Caenorhabditis elegans: one gene and its partner. The protein of the gene in region 2 interacts with the protein of the main gene of each other region in a biochemical or structural test. Each region holds a gene or a part of one and is shown on either strand. Other genes may lie near its edges.

Region 1 (5,388 bases), on a different chromosome or scaffold from region 2:
CCACGTGATAATTGTTGCAAATAATAAGTATTAATGAGAATTGCCAAGATAAAGTAGGCAGGTAGTTCTGACGCCTACCACCTAAACCTGGAAAATTCTGAGGCACTTGAGAACTCATTTTCAAAATTCTAATATTTTAACTTTGAAAACGAATCATGTCAAGGGGCAAAGAATTTTTCCAGTGTTTCAATTATTTTAAAGTTATTTTAATTTCAATTTTTTTAGTATTTTAAATTTAAAAAAGAACTCACCTTAAACATGAAACTGGTTGTGTAATTTGTAATTCCGAATTAAATAATTCTCGATTTAATGATTGCTGAAAAATAAATGTGAGTAATTCTGAAAATCTTAAAAATTAAACTAACTGGACATAAATGTGGATTGATTTCAAGCTCAGCTCGTTCTTGTTTCATTAAATTTAAAGATATCTCAGGTATATCGTCTGCTCTGAAGTACCTCGTAAGTTTCACTACCACGTGATCTCGTTTTGTCTGAAAATTGGTATTCTTTATTTTGTTTTGAAAAATATATAATCTCTTATCATTTTTTGAATACTATGTGTAGCCCTGTCAAAGGAATTTACCTTTTTTGATAAACTCAGTTTTCGGCTTTGAAAATCCAGAAGAAAAATTATCCCTGCGTTGTCAAAACTAGAAAATATTGTAATTTTGTTGCTCTTAGAATTTTGGCTTTAAAAACTAGTTATCCCAATTTCCTATTTAAATTCTAAAATAAGCTCATCAGTTGGTCACGTGAATGTGCTTTGTCAACAACAAAGAGGAACATTATGTTCTTCTCACAGCTCATAAAAGTGAGCAAACTTTCTACTTTTATTGTGTATACTAAAATGTATGTTTTTGTGATGATACTATAAAAGTGTTTGAATTAAAAAGTTTATGTTTTTTCACTTTCAATGCATTCTCTAATTCTCAACGACTTCCCGCGCAATCCGATTATGACACGGTTTTTAGTGGGTTCTGAAGGACGAACAAGTGGGCAAATGACTCAATGACATCTTCCTTATACTTTTATGTTTAAAAAAGTATTCAGTGCTATCAGTCGAAAGGAAAACATGAAGGGAATACATGAACCCACTAAAACTGTGTCAATATTTACACAAGTGCGGTTCTCTCCTCCTCTAAACCAGTAGTTCAAGGAACAAGGGAATGAAGAGATATAGAGAACAAGTAAATTGATAGTTGTTTGGAATTTGAGAAGAGGTCAGCAGAGATTATAAAGTATCAAAGAATCTCTAGTTTCAAAAAGAAAACCTCATTTTTCATTTTCCAAAAAGTTCAATTTGTCCTTAAACCCCCTTTTCTATCAATTTATTTCGAAATTGTCAAACATCACCCGGTTTCTCGCAACATTAATTTTTAAATGCCGAATTTGTTATCTTATCGCTACATTCACTGAGTGTTGCCCATTATATAAATATTTCATTGTAACACTGTGGAACGATTTGATCTATTGTGGTTCTGATTTTTGAGGAACAAGTTTCCAAGAAACAATTATTTCAAAAACCTTAATATGGCAGAACCATCTGCTGACATGCCTCACGATCTCATTACTCACATATTTAAATCCGCATATTGCCGCTATCACATACGGCTCGTTTTGTGACACTTCTACGAATACTGAATCTCGTAGCCTGTACAATGTGCCATCATGTGATTGAAACCCTTTTAGATCACTGTCTTGTCGATACCGGTATACCTGAAAAAATATGTTTAGTAAATCAGTAGATTTGTATGTTTCAAACTTTCAACTAACGATATTATATTAGAAACTAGTCTGTCTTATTTATCTTTCCGGTTTCTCTGTATCTTTGAGGTGAAATGAACTAGTGTTCACTTGTACTTGTCGTCTGCGTCTCTCCTCTCATTAGCTTCAGTTGTCAATTGGCACCTCGTCTCACACTAGGTCAATGCCAACTAACACTAAACTGTGAGAGAATGAAATATTATGAGCGCACATTTCAAAACAAACAAACAAATCATATAATGCGGCAAAAAATGTTTTTTTGTGTTTGTGTGTCTATTGTCGCATAGTATCTATCTTTTTAACTCTCAAGCGTCTCTTTTGTTTGTACTCTCTTGAGGGAAGAAGCATCTCTCTGGGGTCTCCGAAAACTTCTGTTGACTTTGCTTTCCTTGCCAGCCAGAAAAAAGCAATTGTCTCGAATTTCAGATCAAAAATTGGGCAGCTGTTTTTGCCTCGCTTCGCTTTTTTTTGGAAAACATGCGCACAATTCGAGGAAGTATGCTGCCGACTGACAACTAATCTAGTCAAAGTTCAATTTTCAATTTTTGACGAAACGAGAAGAGAGGTCACTTCGGTTTTTTTTTCGGCTCGCGATCTTCTCAGTGTTTGACTATCTGGTTCTTCTCGATTTGAAGCTCGCAATGTGTGTGTGTGTAAGCGCAATGTTTGAGGTTTAGCCATCAAAACGTTTCGCAGAAAAAACGGGTGAAAAAAGATTGAAATCCAGGTTTTTGTCTATTTGTAGCGATGTTCGTCTAATCGGGAGAGAATTTGAATTATGACCAGCGTCTCCTCTTCCTTTTGACCTCCCCTACACACTAAACTGCCTAAATGTCTGTGTCTCTTCCAAAAACTCGACAGAACGACAATTAATTGGTTTTTCGAGTGTTGAGATATTGAAGGGGAAGAAGATACGCATACATAAGATGTCTATTCAGATTATAACTATTAAAGAGTACAGGAAATTACTCAAATTTCAGATTTTTGAATTAAAAAATGACTTACTATTCCACGGCAATTCCTATCCGATTTGCCTGTAAGACTATAATAACATGGTTCAATATCGTAATGCTTTTGGGAAAATTCTGGTTCGTCATCGTTTTCCATTGGGGAAGAAACGCCGTCTGAAATTTGATAATTTATATTTTAAATTATTTCAAGTAGGCGGTCTTTAGAATCTAGATCACACAATCAAAAGTTACAAAAAAGAATTGCCGCATGTGTCTTCTTATGTGTTCGTACATTTGTTCGACTAATCCGCTAAGCGCTAATCCGCAGCGAGAATCATAACATTTTACGCTGGTGAAGATGGGGCCATCTTTCTAAAAGAACGGCCCCCACTGGGAATACCCGTATCTAGGTTGACATGACATACAAGAAGACACAGAGACGGTTCAGTTACAATTTCATTACCTTGGCTATCCTCAGATGACGACGGCACACATTCGTCCTCTTTGTTGACGTCTTCACTACTGCACTGGCTGTCAAAGCGGCTCATCTTTGTCTTGTTGCCTTTTTTAGTTTTTCCAGTTTGCTCCCCCAAAAATGATGAACTATCCTAAAGAATTGGTCTTAATTTGAATCATTGAGAACACACGAAAATCAGCTGGATAAAAAATGAAAAGATGAGATGAGAGAGGAAGATGGTGATGAAAAGCACAGAAGTTCTTTTTTCTTTCCCTCCGGAACCCTCTAGAGCCTAGTAAAAACACAAACTAGAACAGCACCGAGGGATAGAAGAAAGGAAGACGGGAGAGAGGAAAGGGATGAAGACGGGGTGGGGTGTGGGAGTGGCGTGGGGCGGGCGAGGGTCGTCGTCGTCGGTTAGTGGGGCACATACACAGAGCACATACACGACTGGTCCGTTAGGAAAAGAGACATTGGCGGCATCGCCGTCGCACCGCATTCATCAAATATTTTGGTGTATTTAGCAGCAGGAGCAGGACCACCGAGCGCCAAGGAATCTGATTGACTCGGAAGATCCATTAGAAGTCAAATACAACAGTAATTGGTAACACACATTTTCTAACTTACACAAATCAAATCTTTTCAAGAACTTGAATTGTTCACTATTTTCACAATCAATTAAGATCACAAGAGAAAATGTTTACTTAACTCAAGAACTTGATCAAACTTCATAAAATCCTTCAAAAACCTTCAAGCTTAATAAATTACTGTAACTCGTCATACGTTCGCACCTACTTAGCGCATACTAACAGATGATAGTAAATCGCAACATCATCCATTAAACGACTTGTCTTGTCCAGCATGTCGCTCAAAAAAGTCAAGTGATGATAAGAAAGAGGAAGAACGACAATTGTCAAGAAGGGGCAAGGTGTAGGAAAAGAGCTCAGTTTTCACACGTGACCTCGGCTCAACTTTCAGAATGAGTCCTGAAGTCTAGATCCTAGTGGACACTGTACTCACATTCAACTACCATAAGAATTGGGGAAAAATAAGTGTGTGTGAGAGAATGAGAACTGTAAAACAGACGCAGAGAATAGTGCTAGTACATACCACAAAAAGGTGGAATAGTCGGTGGAAGGGGGAGGACGGTGTGGCGGGAAGGGAGGAGAGGTAGTCACCGAAGGAAAAGAGAGAGAGAGAGGTAGAGAGAGACAACCCGAGAGACGAGACAACCGATGTATGTTTGCGATCAAAAACAGTTCGACGGTGACAGTGACGACCTCAAAGCAGACCGCCACTGTGTCTTGGCTTTCCATGACGTGGCAACTTTTTCAAAATATGAAATAACTCATTACAAGTGTTGTTGTGCTCTTTCATTCAACCAAACAGTGAGGAACGATGAATTATAAGAGAAAGGGGGAACGGGGGATTAGCCAGAATTGAATAGAAGAGGATGACCTGCTAATGACAATATGGCAAACAAGATGAGAGTCTTATGAATATCATTTGAACATTTTGAGAATCAAAGAACTGGCAACATTTCAGATGTTTTCTTTTTCCAAAATTTATTATGATACGACAGCCATTTTCACACAGTTCGTAATGTGCATAATAAAAATACAAAACGTGGGAGAGACCTGATGGTTGGTGGTCAGGTCAATTGTCAGGCTAGACAAACATAAATGAAAGACTCATGGGTGGGAGGAGACTAACCAACCAGATAGATAGTTCAAGTGGAATACACAAAACTGACGTGATAACAACTAAACTGTCTAAATTTCAATTTTCAAGACATACAAAGAGAAATACGAGTTGAGGATTAATTGCAAAAAAGGGGAGGCACATCATTTTTTGATCTCTGGAACGATAATCCGTTTTTCTTCCAATTTATATGTAAGTGAAAACATTTACGAATTCGTAGAGATGAATAAGATTTGATTGATTGTGATAACATCAGATGTTCTGTTTCATCAGATAAGATTAGAGAAAAAGGCGGCGGTGTCAAGTTAGGTTCGTCCAAACGTTGTTGAGTTTCAAAGGTCTACTAATTGAGAGGTTTTGCAAAAAGAGTTCATCTAGGTGCACATAAAAAATATCTTCGGGTTGAATTGTGTCCGCTTCTTGCCGTGCGGTGGCAGCAATAGCAGCCGCTTCATTCCAACTTCTCTATTTCCCCCGCTATCTAAACCTCTCGTCAGGCCGCCCGCCCGGGTGTCG
Region 2 (5,018 bases):
TAAAAATGTTAAGGGACGGTTTCAGGGCCTGATGCCTGCCTGAAACTTCAAACTTCAAATTTTATCATTTTTATCAATCTGTTAAAAATCAAAATAAGAATGAAAGAAGTTCACGAGAGGCAGGCAGAGGTTGCCTTAAAGTCAGGCAGGCAGGCGTTTTATCGCCTACGTGGAAGCCAGGGGTGTGCGGCAAATTTGCCGAATTTGCCGAATTTGCCGAGCACGGCAAATTTCAAAAAAGTAGATTTGCCGAATTTGCCGAATTTGCCGCACACGTCAAAAATTTGACAGTACAATTTTGACTAAAACTATTGATTTTTTAGCCAAAAATTTAGTAAAATGATACAAAATTGAGCTATTTTGATGCTTAAACAGACATACTACGCGGAACTTATTCAGAAACCAGATGTGTGTTAAGAATTCAGTAGTTTTGGTGCTCCAAAAAACATAAAAAAAATATCAAATTTTTCCGAGTTTGTTAAGCACGGCGAATTTGCCGAATTTGCCGAATTTGCCGAATTTGCCGAATTTGCCGTGCTCGGCAAATATTGAAAAAAGAGATTTGCCGAATTTACCGAGCTCGGCAAATTTTGAGATTTGCCGCACACCCCTGGTGGAAGCCCTAGGAGAGGCTACAGCAGTTATTCCAAAATTCTCAAGGTGGGTTCAAAAATTTCCTAAATTTTTCTCATGTCCTCAAAAAAAAGCAAATACACTACTAAAACTGAATCATGCACTACCAGATGCCTATCAGTCGCACCTTTTGATGACCTTCCCCCCTGGTTATCTCCAAAATGATGATCTCACAAAAATCCGTGAAGACGCAATAATATTTATGTTCCACCCTTCCACATCTTTCCGATATAACCTATCATTAGTACGGTTTTCTTGTTGGATAAAGAGGTTTCAGGGGCTGACAAAATATTTAATATGAATTGAGTAGAGGGGTTTTTCATATGATACTACCCTAAAAACATTCCGGATGACTGATCTTTTTAGGACCCCCACTTCACCCCATTCAAGCACCTCTTCTTTGTCGGCCATATATTCCGATCCGTCAATTTTGGTCGCAGATGACTTTAATCCGCAACTTCAGCTGCTCCGAAAGAGCACAACAACAATAACAACAGATAAGGAAGACAAGAGACCCGTAAATAGTGAAGAACAGATGCTAGTTGGGATGGTTTTAGGGGTAACAGTAAAGCATATATATCAAGAAAATTCAAAGGTATAGAAGAATATCAAAATGAGTGATTTTCACCCATTTGAAGATACTTTCAGAAAAATTGCAAAGCACGTAAAAATGCATTAAATTATTGGAGGACACTATTACAGACTCTGTGGCATAGTAAAGACAAAAGGTTGTATTTTATTCCAGCCATGTGTTTAATGTAACGTTTTGCAAATGGATATAAAAACAATAGTTCCAGTTATGAACCTTTAAAGCTCTAAACATTGTCATGTGGTTTGATTTAACTTGACTCTTCAACAAGAAGTATCTAAATATATAAACGTATCAAACACACACCCTCCCCTCCGACTTATTAATTGACACCATATGTCGTATGTATATATATACAAAAGTGATTGGGTGTGAAAATGCGGTAGAAATCAAACAAAAATGGGGGACCTGCGGTACTGTGAGGCGGAAATATGTATAGAGGGAGTTGGATTTATACCGAAAATTTCGTCTTGACAATTATTTTAGAATTGAATTTTATCGTGTTATTTTTTTTGAAAATTCTGCTCAAAGTTTTAAAAAATACCCTATGTTTTGGCAAAATTTAAGTCATTTTTCTCACAAATTTCTTGAAAATTCTACTCAAAAACTTGAGAAAAAAGAAACACCATACTAAATCATCAAATCATCATTAAAACCAAATACGGATTAGCTGCTCTACCCAAAGCGACACACATTCATCAATTCTTATCGGATTTTACCCGCAAAAACCAAAACTAAATTCAGAAAAAAAGAGAAAAAAGTGGCAGGGAGAGGAATCAGTAGTTGAGCATCAACCGACAGGTGGAAGAGCATGGTCGTTACGGTTTATTCAGCCGTCTGGCAGGAAGAACAAATTGGTTTGAAACTTGTTCTACTAGACTAGTTAGTAAAATATTTTGAGAATGTGCCAATAGCTCCACTTGCCACTATAGTAGAAAAGTATCATATTGTTCGAACATCCTTTCAACTTTACCAGTTGTCATTGTCATTGTCATTGTCATTGACTCGGTTGTCATTGGTTTTATCAGAAAATTGTCAACTGACAAAATGTTTGTCACATATTTTTTTAAAGTTTTCTAGTTTACTATATTTTGATATTTTTAAAATCAACTGAAATTAGAGCTTCTAAAGTGAGGAGGATTTAACATGGTGCATCAGCTCATATCTTGGTTGTCTTTTGATTTTATTTGAAATTGTCAACTAACAAAACATTTTTCAAATATTTTGCTATAATTTTTTCATTTTAAAATTACTAGCATTAAAATAAATAGAGATATAGGCTGTCCAACAAATTAACCTCAAATGAACCCACTTTGGCAGCTTATGCAACTTTATCAGTTGATATCTTGATTGACATTGGTTTTATCAGAAAATTGTCAACTAAAAAATTGTTTTTCACATATTTTTCTATAGTTTTGTATTTTACTATATGTTGATATTTTAAAAATGAACCGAAATATGTGCTCCTAAAGTGTAGAGGTTCAAACATGGTGCATAACTTTGTCACCACTTTCCTTGGCTATCTTTGGTTCTATCAAAAAACTTTTAACTAACAAAACAAATTTCATATGTTGTTCTATAACTTTGTAGTTACATATTTTTTCGTATCTTAAACATTAACCGAAATATAAACTGCCAAAGTTGCCCAATCAATGCACCATGTCCCCTAATTTTTCATTTCACATTTCGACTGTTCAAATCACAATAAGCAAATTGCCGAAAAATGTGAAATTTTTCATTCAAAATAAAAATCACTATCAGCAATTTTGAGCCAAACTTCATTGAGCACATTTGCTTTTAGTAGCAAGTGTGTTTTGCTCCAAATACTATAAAAAATAAACTAACTTCTTATATCCAAAATTCCCTCAATCGTATGTTTCGGAGATTCTTCTTCCTCGGCTTCTTCCGAACTCGACGGCGGCTCTTTTTTGACCTGCAAAAGAATACTATTTAGGAGTCATGAAGTCAGTGGACAAACCTTCAAAAGGTCAATGTGATTCATTTTCGTGTAAACTGTAGAGTGTCGGCGCTTTCTTTTGACCTGGAAAATGGTACGGGGTGGCGGCGGCTGATGAAAGATGACGTGGCAATGAGTGACGAGCTGGCTACTATTTTCAGTGACTCTATAGATAACAAGGGACGGGAGGGGGGCTGTAAAATGCGGAAATTTACAACACTTTTTGCTCACTTATTGTTGAATTGAATCTACATTATAAAAACACGATAATTTTAAGATATGAGCAAAACTTGCTGTCACTTTACGATCTCATGCCTACCTTATGCCTACTCTAGGCACCAGGCAGGCATAAAGGCCTACTGTACAATTCATAAAAAAAGAATGAAGTATGTGGAAAGTGGGACAATTATTAATATCTTCAAATTTTAATGCGTTGTGACACAAGACACAAGGGAAAAGTTTTAGTTTCAAAGGCCTAATTCCCTTGGCTAATACGATTTTAAACGGAAGAGGAGAGGTTTAATGTTAGAATAATTTAAAAGTTGAGGGAAATGGTTTAGTCTTAGATTTTTTTTAAAAGTAAAATCATATATTGGAAATCACAAAAGTTGGTCTGCTCAAAAGTTGTTTAAGTGTAATGAAGAATTTTTTTTTAGCTATTTGATAATTATTTTATAATACCTGCAATGTTTTTGTATGTCTTCTTACTTCAAAATAGCTCAAAATTGTCTGAAATTGCCCAAAAAACTCTTTGAAAACCCGCCAAACAACGTAGGAAACCGAAACTTGCTCGAGACTTAACTTTGAAAACTTGGTTGTTTTTGTCAACTGACAAAATATTGTACAATTATGCAATTAACATTATTAATCAATTTAAAACAAACCAAATTTTTTTCCACTTGCCAATATATAACTATTTTGGAAAATTAGAAAATCATCATATTAAACGAACATGGTGCATCGAAAAAAAACTTCAACTTTACCAGTTTATATTTCGGTTGTCATTGGTTTTATCAGAAAATTGTCAACTGACAAAATGTTTGTCACATATTTTTTTATAGTTTTCTAGTTTACTATATTTTGATATTTTTAAAATCAACTGAAATTAGAGCTTCTAAAGTGAGGAGGATTTAACTGCATAACTTTGACAGCTCATATCTTGGTTGTCTTTTGATTTTATTTGAAATTGACAACTAACAAAACATTTTTCAAATATTTTTCTATAATTTTCTCATTTTAAAATTACTAGCATTAAAATAAATAGAGATATAGGCTGTCCAAGAAGGAACGACATGGTGCATCAATTGAACCTCAAATGAACCCACTTTGGCAGCCTATGCAACTTTATCAGTTGACATCTTGATTGACATTGGTTTTATCAGAAAATTGCCAACTAAAAAATTGTTTTTCACATACCGTATATCTTCTATTAATATGGCCTCCCTATTAGACTTGCACTCCCTATTAGTATTGCCCCTCGGAGACCTTCCGAAAATTAGTATGGCACTCCCTATTAGTCTTGCACTCCCTAATAGCCTTGCGTTTACTCTTTTTTATTGCAGGCCCGTCTTGTTAACTTCAGGATTTCAACAAAAAAATTTGCCTATTTTGCAACAGTTTTTCACAACATTTCTACGAGATTGAAGTTTTTGAACTTATTATATATGTTACAATTAAAAGCAAATTTTCTGAATTTTTACATAAGATTCGAGCTTTTTCAGAAAAAAACTAGTAAGCTCAAAGTCAGAAAAATGTTCTGAAAATTAGTATTGCACTCCCTAATAGTCTTGCACTCCCTATTAGTATTGCAAGCGGGAAGACCATCGAAAAATAGTATTG

The links. Proteins that work in one complex are often made in the same cells at the same time.
Region 1: the proteins of lin-1 (region 2) and egl-27 form a complex in vitro, tested with the Caenorhabditis elegans proteins (one study listed by BioGRID).

Annotation. Positions count from the first base shown.
Region 1 is NC_003280.10:6,832,955-6,838,342, reverse strand, and holds the start of egl-27 (Egg-laying defective protein 27), read right to left. Parts: upstream 3,323-5,388; 5' UTR 3,263-3,322; coding exon 3,178-3,262; intron 2,889-3,177; coding exon 2,770-2,888; intron 2,757-2,769; exon of another isoform or gene 2,650-2,756; intron 1,717-2,649; coding exon 1,576-1,716; intron 492-1,575; coding exon 366-491; intron 317-365; coding exon 252-316; intron 1-251. UniProt on the Caenorhabditis elegans protein: Transcription factor which promotes stress survival and delays aging. Required for cell cycle progression and development of the mesodermal and endodermal embryonic lineages.
Region 2 is NC_003282.8:2,297,063-2,302,080, forward strand, and holds the start of lin-1 (ETS domain-containing protein), read right to left. Parts: upstream 3,225-5,018; coding exon 3,201-3,224; intron 3,156-3,200; coding exon 3,068-3,155; intron 1-3,067.